Oreochromis niloticus: one gene and its partner. The protein of the gene in region 1 interacts with the protein of each later gene in a biochemical or structural test. Links are inferred from orthologs where the notes say so. Each region holds a gene or a part of one and is shown on either strand. Other genes may lie near its edges.

What was found.
Region 2: the proteins of mpdz (region 1) and htr2aa form a complex in vitro, tested with the Homo sapiens proteins (2 studies listed by IntAct, with this or other methods). The link is inferred for Oreochromis niloticus from reciprocal best matches to the Homo sapiens genes MPDZ and HTR2A.

What each region holds. Positions count from the first base shown.
Region 1 is NC_031967.2:13,316,605-13,326,338, reverse strand, and holds the start of mpdz (multiple PDZ domain protein), read left to right. Parts: upstream 1-6,115; 5' UTR 6,116-6,418; intron 6,419-9,582; 5' UTR 9,583-9,626; coding exon 9,627-9,642; intron 9,643-9,734. UniProt on the Homo sapiens protein: Member of the NMDAR signaling complex that may play a role in control of AMPAR potentiation and synaptic plasticity in excitatory synapses. Promotes clustering of HT2RC at the cell surface.
Region 2 is NC_031987.2:29,661,802-29,671,164, reverse strand, and holds the start of htr2aa (5-hydroxytryptamine receptor 2A), read left to right. Parts: upstream 1-5,507; 5' UTR 5,508-7,123; coding exon 7,124-7,565; intron 7,566-9,363. UniProt on the Homo sapiens protein: G-protein coupled receptor for 5-hydroxytryptamine (serotonin).

The DNA of each region.
Region 1 (9,734 bases):
GATAAAATAAGATGCTGACAAAGTGATTTAGACGCAAATACAAGCCACATCAGTGTAACTTGGCTTTAAAAATTATGACAAATATTCAAACGCCTGGATCCACAGTGTTTTATTTACCTTAAAAGGCAGCATTATTAGCTTAACTCTCTCATCTCATCCTCTAAGATACTGTATGCTAGTCATGTGCCAGCTAACACAAAGCTACATTAGAGCCATAAATACTTAATATAACCTCCAACGTACTGGGTTCTTTTTTTAAAGGTCAACCTTCTAAATCGACTGTACTTTTTTGTTTAGTGCTAATTCACATACATATTAAATATGCTCAACCAAGAAGGAAAGCTAAACATGCTAAAACATTTAGCATGTTTCGCTCATTAACTAGCATGCTAGTTAGCATGCTAAATAGCCTCCTCAAGCAGCTGTTAGCATGGCTACTATTCATTTTAAGTTTCTTCAAGAAAAGATTTGGGTTTAAATTCTTATAATCTCAGTTATAATAGAAAAAATATGTGAAAATCTTTCTTAAGACAAAGGCTAAAACTATTACCCAAGAGTTATCAACCTAAAGTTGAACACTTAAATCCAGTTTTAAAGGCAACATTATATAATGTGTCACAGCCGGATAGAGTCTGTATGACATGCCTTCATAACAGCAGTGAATGTAGTCAAACCACCTGTAGAGTTGTTCAAAGAAGACTTGCAGTTTAACACAGTGAAAAGCATGCTGTGACGGTGTCAATCAAATACAATAATAGGTGCAAATATAAAGACATTTGGTGAAAGGCGCAGTTTGGTCATATATAAATTATCCAAAGTTTTTTTTCCCCCTTCGAAACAGAGCAACGCTAGCTTTTAAAGACTAAGTGGACATTTAATACATCATTCATTCAACGTTATAGCTGCTCACCTCACCTGCTGTGACTCACAGTGCATTCAGAAGCCCTTCAATGCTATATAATGAAACCGAGAGCAGTACACACTGTGAAATATGAGCTTAAGGCCCTAATTTCAGCTGTCAGATTCCCTGAGGTCAGATATTGAGGACTCATCTGTCTGTTACCTTCTCTCAGAGCTCTTTCACATAATGCAGGTTGTAATTTCCTTTTAGTGTAGCGTTACAGAAAGCTGAAAAGACGATGAAGGCAATAAATTGTCGGTAATAAGCTAGCAGGTCGGGTTAGCAATCAACGACTTATAGCAAGTAATGGCACAGATGCTCTCACACATTGAAGATACTTGATGACTAATCACGTTCACTCATATCACAACTGTTGGTTATTGCACATTGAAATTCTGAAATAATATAGCCTAATCTTTCATAGCACGTAAAGCTCTTTATTGATTATATTGTACTTGCAATATACCGCCATTGTCTTGTAAACTCAATTTTCTTACTTTAGTATTACATGTCTGACCCGGATCTGTGCTGAATACCAGAGAAAAGCGAGGGTTGCAGTTCAGCAGTCATTTTAAAAAAAATTCTGTTCAATTGATTTTATTTTATGTCTCGATTGGCTTGACATTTGCCACGGACATTCATGCTCTCAAGTGGCAGAGGGCGATTGATTTTTGGGTGACCCTATGACTTCCCTTCTGACTAAACCCTCCAAGACACAAAACGACCTCTCAAAGTGTCTAAAATCTTCAAAAGTAGCCCCGAGACCGGCATTAAATTCCATCTGCACATTCACATTCCCAACAGGACCAGACTTATTGATTTCCTACGATTCATGTGACCTTTGCTCGACGACAATATCAGGCCAAACTTTCAATTTTCAGTTTTCTGACCCTGAGGAACTACTGATACAAGACTAGAAATACCTACTGCAAGGCCATCATCAAGACAACCTTCTAGTTTTAAAACTCTTAAATCTTCTAGTCTTTTCCTTTTGTTTTGCCATCTACTAGCACTGACCCAACACGCACTCCCACTGTTGTGGTCAAGAAGCTGTATTATAGAGTACTGCAGAAGTACTTAGTGAATTATTCAGGCTAGACCTTTTAATATGAAAAATAAAAGTATGACTTTCAGATCTTTCCGTGAGCTTTTTTATACCGTTTGGGAAAATTTTGTTCCAAAGGCTATTTGAATGTTGATGGATTTATTGGCAATAAATCAAGACAAACAATACCAGCATTCACTCTGCCAATATGATTCAGACACTGAATTTGTGATTCCTTCAGGGTGTTTTTTTTATTACACCATATGACTTCATATAGCAAGTGTGTTTCCAATAAAACATGATATTTAGAAAGTTGTACTTTTCATGAAAATGTGTCGTTTTCGTGCAGTGTAGAGGAAATTGCTGTAAATTTTAAAAATGTTGTTGTATAGCTGAATCACAGCGCTCTTGAATAATCACTCGTCGCATTAATCTCTACAGTCTATTGCAATCAGGCTGTGTGAACGTAAGTGGTGCAAAGTACTGTGTATTAGCTTTCTGCATACTATTCACACAACATATATGTTGGTAATAGTGTTAATCATGTTAACATGGATATTAAGTGTGCCAGTACCTTTGTTACTGTTATCACAGTCACATATAGTCACATAGATAGACTTTGGTCCCAACACAACCGGGAGTTTATTATTATATGTGTAAGATTATTGTACTAGAAATTACACCAACTCTAATATTAATCATAATAAATTGTATAAAATGCAGAACTGAACAACTGACTTGAACTTTCTTTTGCTCAGAAAATGTGAAATAATAATAATTTCTTTCAGCAGTCTTCAGGAATAGTTCTCCAGGCCTCTTGAAGGACATTCAAAGCTCTTCTTTGGCTCCCTTTTGTTCTGTTCCCCGTCAAGAGGATCCCACATCACTTTAGTAACGTTGAGGTCCGGGCTCTGAGGAGGCCAATCCATGACTGATAATGTTCCACTGTGTGTTTTTCTATCCAGGTATGGTATTACTGCAACGGCAGTGTGTTTGGGATCATTGTCATGTTAAAAAATGAAGTCAATCAGTCGTTTCCAGATGGTATTGCATGGTGGATCAAAATCTGACTGTACTTTTCTGTGTAATTATGTTTCCAATTCATTGTTTCTGTAAATAATATTTGAATCCCTGAACATTACTGACTGAAATGCAGCTCCAACCCATCATAGTGCTTCTGTTGACAATGATTTGAACCCAAAATTTCAAATGTGGATTAATCTCTCCATAAGACCTGTTGCCACTGATTTTCAGTCCAGTTGTTGTGTAATTTGGCATATCTCAGGCTTTTCTCCCTGTTTCCCTTTCTTAAGAAAGGCTTCTTGACAGCCACTCTTCCACTGAGACTATTTCTGATGAGGCTTCAGTAACAGCAGACGGATCAACTGAAGGTCCAGTAGCATCTCTCATGTCCCGTGTCAACTCTTTGCTGTCTTTTTCACACCTTTTTCTTAAGGACATTGCTTTCACATACTCTTCATTTGCAATAGATAACTTTTTAGGTCTGCTACTTTTTCTTCTATTCTCCACTTGTCCAGTTTCTGAGGTGCTGTGCCAAAATATGCCACGTTTTCAGCTAATATCTCTTTGGGAATCATCCTGTTGATGCAAAAATACTGTTTGATGCCTGTCAAACTGTGTTATCCTCGGCAGTATTTATAGAGTCCACTAAAGAAATGTGAACAAATCATCTGTTTTTGTGCTAGCAATTGTTCCTTTGGTAAACTGTCTTTTATGTGTATACACAGCACTGGTTGACACTCCCTAGAGTTAGGCGCCTTTTTCATTTGTATGTCATGGCTCTGATTCATAAGTTAACGTTAAGTCACTTAACACTGACCAATGAATCATTCAAGCTTACCTGAAAATGAGTAAAAAGCAGCCCGTGACCAAAGATAAACTTTGACAGACCTTCAGAAAGCCTGGAGAACTACTGCTCAAGGGCAATAAAACCTGGCTCCTTGGAAGCAAAATATAAGGAAATAAGGGATGATTCGTGACTTTTGCAAACGCCGAATTGGTCCAAAAAACAGTTAAATGCAGCTAAAATAATCCTTTTTCAGAGTATTGAGAAAAAGAGATCTGAATCCAGTTATGACAGATTTAACTAGGCTGTCTCAAACAATGACTAATGCTGAAGGCCTGTGACAGGCAGGTATAAAAATATAAAATGCTGAAGCTGCTTAACACTGAGCTAAGATGTTTTTTTCCCCCTCTCTTCCTTTCTATCTTGTTTCAATCTCTTGTCTTTTTCAGCATTTGGCTGAGTCAGACCTCCCACATAAAAGTGGCTTATTGTCAGAGTAAGAGGGGAGTTACAGGGTGGATAAGCAGGGAGGTGGAAGTAAAGATATAAATGGTGAAGGGATTTAGTCAGTATCAGCTCCCTGAAAGCAGCTTGTATCCCTCTCCCTGTTGGTGAAATGACTTCTTACAGACTGACCCTGTTCTTTCCTGCTCTCCTCTGAGGTCTTGATCCATGAAAATAAAAGCAATTGTGGAGAGGGCAGAAATAGTATTAAGAGGCTTTCTTGACCAGCCAGTGCCTAATAGTTGCTTTTCCTTTGCAACAACGTGGAAAACAATGCAAATTACAGCACTACTACATTTCTGTTGTGCTGCTAGATCTGAGTCACAATTAACAGATGACAAGTTCTTTTCTCGTGTCTACTAAATGTTCTGCATATTGAGTTAAAATCACATCATCTTGTGAAGTAATAAAAGCACAGAGTATACTGTTCATTACACTTAAATGCATATTAGACAAATATCTAGCTTTTGCATGAACTTGTGTGGGTGGCAGCATGAAGTATTCATGCATAAGTGTGTGGGTGAGCTGTATGTGGTTAACAAGCTTGCAGTGCATGGGAGTCATATTTAATTAGAAGCATAAACTGCCCTGTTGATTGGACTCTCACACAAATGCTTTGGATTGACTGAAAACCGTTCCAACAATTCGCTGAATCGTTTATAATTAGTGCAGCATATAAAAAAATGCAGAGAAAATATGAATTATTAAGACAAATACATCCCCGGGCTCCAGCCATGGTAGGGATGGGCCTCACGGTAACTTCAATATATGTAATATGAATGAGAGCAATATTACGCTTCCTTTATAGTGTATTTTATGCATTTTAGAGACTGTGTTTGCTCAAGGGCACTTAAACAAATACACTTCTGCACCTGTGATTCACGTTCAGGTCGCTGAGGTCAGGTGTTCCTCAAAAGTAATAATTTTAAGGGCCAAGTTTAACTGCCTCAGACAAAATCGCTGGGCTGTGTGTGTTTGTCTCCCAGGCCAACTTTTTTCAGAGAATAACCTTCTGTGAAAGTTTTGCCGTGATTTATCTGTAATTTCCTGTTGTTTGCCCCATGAAAGCAGTTGGAAAGCTGTTTTCTGCTGTCTTTTCTCCACTTAAACGTCGGTTTATAGGCAGGCCAGGTTAACCCCTCATGCCCCTCTGTCTCTCTTGTTACAGCATCTATGCCTTCTCCTGCCAAAGTGCTACCCGACTTAATAGACTGGTGAAGAGGGCCAGCTCCATCCTGGCCAGCCCCTAGACTCCATAGAGGTGATGTGTGAGAGGATGCTAGCCAAGATAATGTCCATTATAGACAACCCCTCTCACCCCTTCCCAAATTTCACCCAGCAAAGACTCCGATCTGGCTCACTGGACAGCTTTGGAAAATTTGAGGGAGGCCATAAAGTTTCGACTTTAAACTGTATTTTGAAAAGTTTTACAGCTCTTCCTAGTGATAAAGACATCCCTTGTTTTCATTAATAATACACCAAACTAACACATAAGCAATTAAATAACAGAAAGATTCATGTTTTTTAAAAATCTATATAAATTTCTGGGGGTTTTCTAACAGTAATTGAAACAAGATCCTTTTCTATTAAATAACCCCCCCAAAAAGTGTTATAATCACAGTTTAATCTGAGAAATGAGCTAATTTTACACATTTATTTCTTACAATTTATATTTATTTCATTTACAGGAGCAGGATTTCTCTGTTCTGCAGACAAACTTCAGTGTACTGTTGAAATTGCACTTCTTTTTAAGTGTGCATTTAAACTGATTTACACAGACGGAAAAGGGGGGTATCACTGATCCGGGCTCCTTAAAATCATACAGTAGGCTCATAATGTGGCCCGCAATGTAAACCGAGTTTAACATCCCTGCCCTAGTTTAAGTTTATGTGAGTTTGCTTTGTTTTTGGGACTTTAGCTCTGGCCCTACACGGCAGCCAGGGCTTCTTCCATGTATGTAGGGCCTAGTTGTCAGGGCAGCCAGCAAGCGGCGCTTCAGCCCCAGCTGAACTGTCGGTGCGGCTATCGCTGGAAGTGTCCACAGAGGATCGAGTTACTCAACGCCCCATCTTTAAGCCCCAGTCAGTGCGCCGTTAGCCGCAGGACAACAGAGGATAGCTCAAGATACTGGCCGCCGGGGAAGCAGAGCGTCCACACTCATGTAAGTGACTCTCTTTAAACGTGTTTCGCTTGAGGAAACGTTACTGAAGTCTCGAATGTGTACTAACTTCAGCTTTTCTCAAGCTAGAGACCCCCTTTGTTAGCTTTAATGTCGCTAATTAGAGGAAAATATTGTGAGACGTCTTCTGTAGCGGTTGGTCACATAACCACACCAGACTGCCTTTAAATAGATCCAAGAGGCTTTTTTTCAAGTAAAAGTGTTTATATATACTACAAGAAGCCAGCTTGGGCGATTTCCTGTGGCCGTACAGAGCCCTGATAGTGTGTAACTTCTTTCCCGTCTCCGCGTCGGAAGCCTGTTGCTTTCTTGCTAGATGAGATGGGGAAAGAGGAGGAGGAGGAGGGGTTGAGAAAATCGGATTGTCCCGAGTGCCTTGTCGACTGTATTCAAAACACCACCGAACCTGGGCAGAATATACCAGCTTTAAACAAATACGACGTACTAAACGCTTTATTAACAAGAAATAACACGGGCATAGTGCTAATTTCTTTGATTTTGGAGGAACTCCGCGATAAAATAACAGCGTTTTCTTATTAGCTAATTTTACTCACCACAAACCTCACAAATGATTATTTTCGCAAGGAAATGCTACCCATGGAGCTAAACTACTTTTTTTGGAGGCTGATATCTACTGTGTAATAGCGGCTAATGAGCTCCTCCGGCCTTCTGTGATTCATTGCATACCACTATAGTGTGTGCATCCTTAAGGAATGGTAAAGCTACTTTCAGACACTGAACCACATATGTCATTGAAAAAAAAAACACATATAGTATACTACTGTTGCCACAAGTGACTGTAAGGTGCGTGTGAAGGCAGATTTACTACATAAATACATCACTACATGAGTGAAATACACAGCTAACATACTAGCTCATCACTCAGCATAAAGGGTAGGACACATGCAGTGATGAGTGAAGCAAATGCATAAACAAACCAGAGCTGTGGTGATCCTTTTGCCACAGATACTGCAGCTATTCTGAGAGTCTATACAGGGCTTTTAATTGTCTGAGCAATCTCCTTTAATCGTGTAATGTCTCCCTGAGTCATATCACGCTTGCTTACAAAGCCACTCTCCGCAGCCAAGTGTGATGTTCCCTGCATGGGCTCTGTTAGCGAGCACTCCTTAAAAGAATTAGTCAAATACAAACGACATGATCACCTTCATCATGCATTGCTGTTAGCTTTTAAAGCTTTAAAGTATCAAGGCACTGGGAGTCTTTATGAGCTTATTGGCACTGGCTTTGTTTACACAGTAGAGGAGTCACTGCTCCTTCTTTCTCTTGCCTTTCTGATTTGATTGCATGCACTTTGAAGGTAACAGGGTTTTTTCCAAGGCAACAGTCAGTTTCACAAAGATATATTTTTTGACAGATTAGATAGAACAAATAGCCAGACTTCAGATAGATGTTTGAATCCACCCATTGTGCAAAATGAGACTTTGATTTCAAGCACAATGGTACAATGAAATATTGGTAAATTAAGACTTTTCCAGGTAAAATAGTCAGAAATGTGTGTGTCTGAAAGGAACAGTGAGCAGGATGACACCAGTCAATAGAAAGGGTGATTTACTGAAGCAGCTTTTAGGGAGTTTAAAATAATAATTATAAATACATGAGCTGATTACTTAATAATCAGGTATGCATTTAGGTAATTTTTTTGTGTGCAAAACATAAGCATTTTTTCTCTTTTGCTGTGTGTTACCGTAGACATTATAAAAGCCAGTGGTAACCACCGTAGTATTGCTGTTCAGTGATATTGAAAAACACCAACACTGTCACTAAAACCTGCCATTAATGTTGCCATAAGACCAGGTCAGTGTGCCATCAGTCTGATATCAGTCTACGATTGATTGGGTCAATTTGGCAATTACATGCAACCTGACTTTGATAAAACAGCAATTAACTGTAATAAATTGTTGATAAACACATATCTGTTTCAGTCTGCAGAGACAGAAACATTTAACTATGTCTTCTGCATTCAGCAGCCTTCCGGTTTTACGGGAATATAACAAGAATACAAGCAGCTGGCAGCCAGTTGAGTTGAGTCCTCTCGCGTTGTGCTCATTGACAGAGACTCAATCTATCTGTAAATTAGACAGCAATTATTTGCAAACCTTTGACAATCTCTCTGAGAGTGATTGCAGTCCTTCCAAGTCAGACTGCAACTATTTGCAGAAAGGTTACCTCGTATCAGGTGACCTGTGCTATCACCTTACCTTACCCTCAAGCTCTGGACAATCACAAGTTTGGTCGAGCCAGTGTAAAGTAAGTTTGCACAGTTAACATTATCTCAGATTGGTGTTGCATGAGATGATCCATCTTGTTTGTAGTCGTCCCCAAAGAATTTTATTTTAGCTAATAAAAATTTATTTTTTGGTGTCGCAGAACTAATACAATATCACCACCTAAATTAGTGCAATACTGTGCTCTATCTGCTCGCCCACCCCCCACTCCTAATATTGACCAACAGTTTAAACACTCATTTATGAGCTAAGTAACAGTGCAAATAAAAAGTCAGTGTAAACTTTTAATTTATAAGGAGAAAATGAAGAACAATTAAATATGAAAATTGTCATGTTAGCAGGATGTTGTGCTAGTTTTAAAGCAGCTTATAAGATTGTTGTGTGAGAGGATAATTAATTATCAGGGTTGTATGAAGTAAGATGATATTTATCTGATAAGAGCAAAATGGATACTCAAGCTTCATCTAATACCGGCTGTATGAAATTTCAGGAATGTAAATTACTTGGTATTTATTCATCAATAAGAGCATTAGTGGAATATAAGGGAACTAAGAAGCTTGAGTAGAAGCGCTTTTCTGGCAGCCGGTTTGTCGAGAGACTCGACAAACTGGGACAGTTCTTCAGCACAATGGTACTCTGATGCACATAGTGAAGCATTCTTCAGAGATAAATATGGACCTAACAGAAATGAAATAAATCTAGTTTCTTTTTAATGTTAATCTTTTGAACAGAAAATGTGTAAGTTGGGAGGAGAACCCAGGAGGAGGATGAGCCATTTTTCTTGCTCTGAGAGCTTTGTGGAAGTTAAAAATAAAAGAAAACAGCGTGAGTTAGTGGTCTAATATTTAGTTCTCTGATTGCTCACAAAAAGACATTAAATACTGAATTTGTCATTTTCAGGCCTTGATGAAGGGAAGGCTACACATTCATCCGACGCTCTAAAAATGATAGAAACAATGGGTAAGTATTTGGTTTTTTAAATTGTTTTATGCCAGGCATCTATAAAATATTCATGATTTCATCCATGATTGAACCAGCTTTAGGGTTGAGTG
Region 2 (9,363 bases), on another chromosome or scaffold:
CACTTGCAGAAACACCAAGGAAAGGAGTACATGGAATTTATACAAGCCTCCAATGCTGAGAACAAAAAATGTACTGTATCAACAAGCACTTTTGGAAACCATTCAGAAGCATGAAAAACTCCCTCCAGAAAGCAACAAAGCAAAGCTGATAACAGAGAAAATTGTTGATTTTATAGTGCTTGATGCCCTTACTGCTGTGGAAAATGCTGGTTTTCAAGGCTTAATGGAGCATTTGGTGTTGCCAAACTGCCATTTCATCTCCAAGCAAGCTATCCCAGAGATGTACAAGCAGCTGTGTAAGTTCCTCTCTGAATGTTTGGAACGCATTCCCACATTAAACAACTGATATTTGGATCTCGGACGTCTGTCCATCGTCATTTCTTAGTCTGACCACACAATTGACAGGCTCAAGTTTTACTTTTACACTATAAAAAAGCAGTGATGCAGGCTAAACAGTTTCATGGTAAGCACTCAGAAGAGTCCATCTCTGCAGCTATGGAGGAAATGTTGGAATGAAAAATTTCGAAGAATTAAGTCCACGTTGTTTTGGAAGACAATGCAAGTTACAAGTTTGGGATGCTTTGAGCACACATTGCAATTCGTGGTGAGGGACTGCTAGCACACTGTAGTGGATGTGATGCTGTGGTAGTTGGAAGAAAAATAGTGGGTCATCCTCAACACAGGCATATTCATGTTTAGAGGACATTTGAATGGAGCTTAATATGCCACCAAGAGGAGAGAGTGTGTGTCAGAAAATGGTGAGGACATTCGAGATTAGATTAGATAGACTTGTTGTTCAGTCCATACACCACCAGTGAATGTTAGAAAATACGTTGCCTGGCTCAGAATAGTACAGCAAAGTATGTTGAGATCCAACATACTTTGATGGTAGAGGTAAGGAAGATGGACGAGGTTTTGAGGAGAACTATTTAGATTCATCAGAGTGACATAATGTTTAGCAGTCTTGGAGTCAGCAAAGAAGACTCCTCGGGTGGAATCTTCAAGCCCAAGACACCTGAAACGGTTTTGGATAAAATCCTGAAGGAAAACACTGTGAATCCTGTTCCTCAGTTAGCCACGACAATTGCAAATGTGCCTCAGTGAGCCAACCATTCAGCGCTCAGACAATCCACTGCTGTACTGGAAAGTCAACCAACCTAGATTACCCACTCTGGTTTCTACAGCAGCTAAATTTCTCTGTGCACCTACAACAAGTGTGGAGAGTGAGAGACTCTTCAGTGCAGCCTCTATTATTATTGATGAAAGGAGAAGCAGCCTGACAGCTGAGAAGGCTGAAATGCAGATCTTTCTAAAGAAGAACCTCCCTCTCATGTTAAAGTGGACAAATTGTTACAAAAGGGTTATTTTTTTTCTTTAGGGTTTGGGCAGCTAACATTTTATCATAAAAAAAAAGTGGTATCGTGCCATCCCTAGTTAATAACAAAGGGACTGGGCAGGTAGAGAGCTGAAGAGTGGACAGACGGAAATCGGCTTAAAGGGGAAGAGGAATCAAGATGTTGCTCTCGAATAAACAGAAGCCTGAGACACTGAGACACATACCAGAGGAACCAGTACAAGGTTGAAATCACCAGAATGCTAAAGACAACTTGAACTGAACTGGTTACCACATCACTGCAATGTAATAATCTGGCAATCAGTGAATGAGTCCTTTTATACAGGCAGTGATCAACGGATGTTGCAGGTGTGCCAGCGAGAAGCCAGACTGGTTAGAGAGCACGCCCTCCTGGAGGACATCACACAGCTGGAAAGACCTGTCTGTATTCACACATGCTCACAAAAAATGGGTAAAAGGGGGAGAGAAAGAGAAGACAAGAAAGAGGAACAAAATGAAGAAGAAGAAAGGAGAAGGATAGTCCTGTTAGAGGAGGATAAAAGGGGGAAATCTAGGAGCTGACAGGCACTGATTGACAGCCCAGCTGTAATAAATATCTACTCCCTTTTCAGAGCACAATCAGGTGAGGAGAGTGTGAATCATGCAGAACCCAGATGTTCAGAGGCTACCTTCTGGTCCTGAACACAGGTACTTTCACGCAACAGAGCACAAAAGCAATGTTGGAGGGGAGTGAAACTTGTCCATTACAAGTCATGGTTGTACATAAGGCATTGTAAAAGGTACCTTTTAAAGTGAGCTGAATGGTTCCCAGCATTCCTGGGTTTTAGTCAGACTTCTAAACAGAGATCAGTCCAGAAAAGCAAAACTGCAGAGAGCACAAAAGCCTGTGTGTGTATTTACTGCAACATCACAAATCATGCTCATGACTTTTTTTGTTAAACTTCCTACTAGTATTAGATATTTAACACAAGGTATTAAAATCTAGGTCGATATGTAATCATTGATGTCACTCATGTATCTGAAATGAATTTAAAAAATATCTGAATTGTCTGAGTCATGTCTCATAACTAATGTGTTCCTGTACAATCTAACAGGTCCAATCGTACACATAAGTGGATCTGTATGGCAGACTTTTGTTGTAATGAAGGATTCCTTCTCTGTGCTCCACCTGTGCTTTCAGATGTATCCAGAGAACAGCTGCCTTTCCTCCAAGACCCCACAGAGTGCCCATCAATCTCTAACAGAAGAGTTTGCCCTGATGTCACAACATCGGTTTTCCTTAAGCTCTCTCTCTTTGATCTAAACTGCCATGTTGCTCCCAGAAACAAACACTTGAATAATACCTGCATTTTTATATTGGATTATGTTGGTTAGTATGTTACCCACTACCTCAAGAGGTGTGCTCATTTTTGATCACCTAATTTGCACTGCTTATGGTGGATGTCTTGCATTCATACATTTATGGATTTTTTAAAATTTTAGCATCCCAATAGCAGTGTGCTTGTGGCCTCTGTAATATGTACACGGCTGAAAAAAATGTGGACAGTTTAAACACAGCCTTTCTGTAGATTACAAAGCACTATGAGCTGCTTCCAGATATGAATCTACTTTTTAGATGAATGCCTTATGTGTTTGGAAATGTGAGATTGCTTGTAATGTATTTATATGAGTTAGACTACAGTCTCCTCAGTGCTCCTGCTTAATATGAAGCTTTGTGTCTTCATTTAGAGTAGACTAGAGGATGGAAACCTGCAGTAAATCTGTAATTGACTACATATATGCATTTCAGGCTTTAGCACTCTTGGCTCAGCATTAATTTTTTTGATGAGTTGACGTCATCCATTGACCAATTGAAATTGTGAATGCTTTGCTTTACTTGTGACTATGAGCTGAGTGTTCAAACACCAGCACAGATGGCAGCAAACTAAAATGCATCTGTTCAAATGTATCTGCACTTTCCGCCAGCCAACCAAATCATGTTGTGAAAATATTGGGCAATATTGGCAGCCATCAAAAATCTTCTCGTATAATTCTGGGTGGATGTTTGACCATTTTTCTTGTCAGAGTTCCTTTAAATTGCTTTGTTTCCTGTCATTTACCCAGCTTTTCAGTGTAGTCCACATATTTTCAACATGGTTAAAATCAGGGCTTTGGGAAAGCCTTTCAAGAAGCCTATGTCTGTGAAGGTTGTCAGTCATCCAGGTCATCGTAGTCTAAGGAGCTTGGAAAGAAAAGCGTCTGGACTTCATTAAGTTTCCTTAAAGATGTTTCACCTCTCATCTGAGAAGCTTCTTCAGTTCTAAGAGCAATTGGTGGAGAGTCCCAGATTTTAAGCCCTATGGGAGTGTCCCCAGGAGGGTCATGGACCCCCTATTGATCCTCTACCTAATCACACGAGCCAAGGTGTGAAAAAGGGTGTGGGTCATAATCAGCCAAGGTTTCGGGTGAACCCATTGTGAAGCCTAGCCCCACCCTATCATGTGATTCCCTGAGGTCAAATGGCCCAGGATGTGAGTGGGAGTTAAGGCATCTGGGAAGGGATTTCAAAACTGGATTATAGATGGCAGATAGTTGGTGTCGTAAACCACCACCTCTGTTTAAAGATGGTCGCTCACAGTGGACATACATCACTTCTTTCACTGCTCTTTCAAACCATTTGTCTTCTTTGTCCAAAATGTGAACACTGGCATCCTCGAAAGAGTGACCTTTGTTCTTTAGGTGCTTTTCTTTCCAAGTCCTTAGACCTTTCCAGAAGCCTAATGTTAGCCTGCTTTATCCACTTCAAATATAGTTTTGATGTGTGTTTGGGATAACCGTCCTGTTTGAAAACTGAGCTGTGTCAAGCTTCAACCGTCTAGCTGTAGATTTGAGGGTAAGTTGAATCATTTGTAAGTACTCATTATTTCATCCACTTTATGCAGTACTATTAGCAGGAAAACAGCCCTAGAGGCTTGATGCTATGATGATTGACAGCTGGCAAAATGGCCATAAAGCTCAATCTTTGTCTCATGTGACCAAAATTTTTCTCCAGAAGGCATTTAGCTTGTCCATGTACACGGTTGGAGCAGGTCCTTCTTTGTTGGTTGGCACCTTCTCAATTCATAAAAATGTAAAACACCACCTGGACAATGATGCTGGTGTTCCAGTGGTTTCCAGGCTTGAGTCCTGGTGGTTCCTGGGTTGATCCTGAATAATTCTCTCATCTGAGGGTGACAACTGAGGTCTTCTCCCAAACCTTGGCAGTGTGGTGGCAACATATCTAAATAATTTGAACTTATATACAGTTGTTTAAACTGATGCTCCTGGAATCTGCAGTTGTTTAGAAATGACCCAAAAAGCTCTGACCTCAACCCTATTGAGAATGTGTGTTCTACACTTAAAAGCCCGCTCTGCACCAGGACGTAAACTCATTTAAATGAAGTCTACTAATTTTGCCAAGAGGAATGGTCAAATAGCCAGGCAAGGTTGTTGATGGCTACAGCAAGTTTGACCAGTTGCACCTATATATATTTGTTTTTTTTAATATATATATGTATAAAACACCCAGCACGCCCCTGAGGGCGGTTTATCCTTCAAGCTCGGGTCCCCTACCAGAGGCCTGGGAGCTTGAGGGTCCTGCGCAGTATCTTAGCTGTTCCCAGGACTGCGCTCTTCTGGACAGAGATCTCCGATGTTGTTCCCGGGATCTGCTGGAGCCACTCGCCTAGCTTGGGAGTCACCGCACCTAGTGCTCCGATTACCACGGGGACCACCGTTACCTTCACCCTCCACATCCTCTCGAGCTCTGGATAGCGTAGTGGTTAGACTGCACACCTTTGGAGCAGAGGATCACAAGTTCTTGATTCCTGCCTGGGGCGTCTGTATCCAGTAAGGGTCCTAAAGCTAGACCCCCTATGCTAAGCGAGCCTACCACAGACATGAGAGAGAAAAAAAAAAAAAAAAAAAAAAAAAATATATATATATATATATGTATGTATGTATGTGTATGTGAGAGAGAGGGCTTTGGCATATTGCTGAATATGGTAGTGCTAGTAAAGCCATTTGAAGTGAAGTGAATTGAGAGAGATGCAGGTTTAACTTGAGTGAGAGAAACACAGAGAGAGTGTGAGAGAGGAGGGAGAGAACAGGACTTCGAGATTCAGCAATAAGAAGAGGAAAGAGAAAGCGGCACAATAAATAGAAGAGAGAACGCTTGAGAAAGCGAGAGAGGGAGCATACCAATATGGTATGCGGGGGAGAGACCCTGGGTAAAAAGGGAGAGAGAGCAGGAGATCCCAGTGAGAGAGCTGCAGAGAGAGAGGGAGGGAGAGAGAGGCTGCATGTGAGAAGCAGCGTGAGCGAGTAGAAGCAGAATAGCATTCAGCTCCTGTTCACCACAGAAGACGACTCAACAACTTAACGACACTCTCCTGGAAAGCTGAAAACACACGGAGCCTCTTCAGTCTGCTGATGGGAGAGAGAAAAGAAGTTTGCTTTCCTCCTCCTTTTCCTTCTGCTTCTTTTTTAGTTTTTTCCTTTTTGGAAAGTGACAAGATGTGCAGAGTGAATGATCAAGGTCTGTGAAGGAAGGAGATCTGTGTTTATTCATGAAGGATTTGAAGAGTGACTGACATTTTCCACTGAGGGCTTATGCAAGCACAAGGAGGAAAAATGTAAGGAATATTTAATTCTCTGGAGGTCTGACATTGTTCTTAGTTACAGCAAACAAAGAATACTTTCTTACTATGAGTCAAGAAATGCAAGTGAAGGAAGGAAGGAGACTGGAAAGTTAGTGACACATACTCACACATGTCAGATATCATCATGTTCATCATCCATGTCTGTCGGCTGCCGACGCACTCTCACAGGTGCAGGGATGAGTTGAGACGAGAGAGCGAGGACGCTTGAAGATTTCCACACACATTAGGAAACACACACGTGCAGCATAATGACATCTGTGCAGGAGTGTCAGTTAGGATAAACAAACTCTGAACATTCACACGTCAGTCAGGGTTTGTGTCAAACTGATAACACCAGTATTCCAAGGCTGGAGGTTTTTTTTTATTTGTTTGTCTCCTTAAAGATCATACATTAAAGACTGAAAAGAAACAAAGTTACTGAATAACTGCTTCAACCAGGCAATGAAATTCTGATTTGTAACATTCCCGACTTCACATGGACCTGATATTTTTAACATGAACACAGCCTTGACTTCAAACTCTAAACAGGAGAAACCTGCAACTGCCATCGCACCAGCTTTGAGTGGATTCTATAATAAGAAGAGAAGTTATTTTTTTCTAAATCACTGAAGATATGGGAGTCAAAACAACTCCGTTCTGTTTGGGATATTTTGGGCAACGGAATACTTTTGTTTCTTTGTTTTCACAGAGCCAGATGACGGACTGTGGGCACAGGGAGGTTATTAACCAAGCGAGATATCATTTTTAAGCGTTCGGCATTGTCCTGTGAGATCAAACAGCTGCTCTTCTGGTTGCGCTGAATTCAGCAGAATGCTATTTTTGTTTCCCCGTTGTGAAGATGATTTGTTGATCCTCTGACAGTCAATTCAGGGATTTTTCTTCTTTTTTTTATTTGACATGATGGAGCAAAGAAGTGGTAAACCATATTGAATTACAGGTTAATTGCTAGAGTGATGAACGGTGTTGTATTTATAATATTCAGAGCAACGGGAATGGAAAACAAGTGAGCGATGAACAGACTTTCCTCTTTTCTCCGCCACTCTGACCCACTTTCCAGGCAGCGGTCCTGAGCATTTATCGAGCTGACACCATGAACCTGCATGGTGGCAATGTGTCACAGTTGATCTCTAACACTGTCACAGCCGTTACCACTCTGGGGTCTAACCCCTGGCCTCCACACGAGGAAGGTGGCCTCCAAAGTGGCAATGCCACGAACCTGGGCTGCCAGAGGAACAATGTGGTTCATAATGGCAATGACGCACAGCTGGGGAACTGGTCTCACCATAACGTGGCGGGAGTCTACGGGTCTCAGTGCCCTCCCTTGGAGCAGCTGATGCAGAAAAACTGGGCAGCCCTGCTGATTTTAGTGGTCATCGCTGTCACGGTCATGGGCAACATTCTGGTGATCCTGGCCGTCTCCCTGGAGAAGAAGCTGCAGAACGCCACAAACTATTTCTTGATGTCACTGGCAGTAGCTGACATGCTTCTCGGCATCTTGGTCATGCCGGTTTCCATGGTGACCATTCTCTATGGTAAGCATTGAGTGACACTCATATTGGGCTTCACTAAGTTGACATTTGGTGTGTTGCTGACTCGAGTCCAGCAGGCACAGTGCTTTGTTGTTGTTGGTGTGGGTTTTTTTCTCCTCAAATGAATGAATGGTTACATGACTAATGACTAAACAAACTCCACCTGCCTGCATGTGTAAGGCTTTGTTAAACTGCAAATCATTTCTGAGACATTGGTGAGAAAAGGAAGTGAAGAAATCACATTAAATCTGATGTTTTTCTTTGCATTTTGAAAAACGTATGTTTGCTTTTTAGAGAACTGCTCTTGAAAATATGTCTTATGAGGCAATCCCAGTCTGTGCATGTTAGAATTCATGCATGGCTGTAGCTTGAGGACAGATGGAGAGCAGCAGTGATGGAGGTGTTCGGTGCTGTTGTTGTGAGTGAAGTGTTTACTCCAAGTGCTACTTCAGCATGACAAGAAAGGGGCACACAGAGGTGGTGCAGAGACCAAGTTACTGCAGTCCTTGAAATCACTGTTGCACAAAAATACGGCAGCATGCAAAAGTTTGGACGTCTTCAGATTTCTGTTGCTGTCATGAACACAGGGTGAAGTGGTCTTTAAAAGGCATAAAGTTATAGATAAATACTTTCTTTTCAACATTTTTAGAAAAAAAGGGAGAGTGACAGTAAATACGAGGAATATGATTCAGAAGTTTGGGAGACTCTTTAAGAGAAATGACCTACTATTACCAAGTTGTGTCAGATTTGTTTGTTGTGCTTGGTCACACAGTAGGCATCAGGAAAGTATTGCAGTTTTCAAATCTAACGGATCCCCATTTTCAAAGAGAATGCTATAAGAACAAAGCAACAAGTAGCTGGTCTAAGGAGCTTGGAAAGAAAAGTGTCTGGACTTCTTTAAGTTTGAGACGTTTCACCTCTCATCCAAGAAGCTTCTTGAACTGAAGAAGCTTCTTGGATGAGAGGTGAAACTGCTTGCAGTTCTAATCCTTCCATTTAAGTGCAAAAGATGTTTAGGTGTCACACATGCACAAATATGACCTTCATGGAGGAGGCATCAGAGAAAAAAATACTTTGTTCATCACCATCAGAAATTTCCATGCATTTTGAAAACAAATATTGTGGACTAATATAGTTAAAACAGAACTTATTGAAGGCAATGAGAAAAAATGTGGGAGAAAAATGATGCAGAATTGTTAAATATAGGGCTGATCAGTCACACTTATATATCTGTTCCAACCAGTAACACTATGAGCGAGCAAGAATGAATTTCATTAAATATCAGTGAACAGTAAAATAAATAATGAATAAAAGCAAAGATTAAATTAAAATGTTTTCTATAATCCATAGGTGGAAGCTGAAGGTTTTACTATGGCCCTCATAGTCACCCTGATCAAAATATCAAAAATCTTTTACTTCAAGACAGCTGCACATGCAAAGCAGCCAAGAATTTTCAAAGAACTACAAACCTTTTGCACAAAGGAAGAAAAGGCAAAAATCCTCCCAAACAAGAACTGAACAAATCTTAGCTGCTACAAAAGCTGCGATAATTACTGAAGGGTGAGCTTCTAAGTTCCCAAAGCTTTTCTTCAGACTCCTTTACTCATTTGCTACTTTAAATCTGTTCTGGAAACAGAAAGTTGTTTTTTCTTTAAATCAGGTATAACAATATGATCACTGACAGATGCAGTAGATAACACTTATTATCTCTTCACCATGGCACCTGTTAGTGGCTGAGATATATTACAGAGCAAGTGAACATTGATGGTGAGGGATGATGTGTAAGAAGCAGGAGAAATGG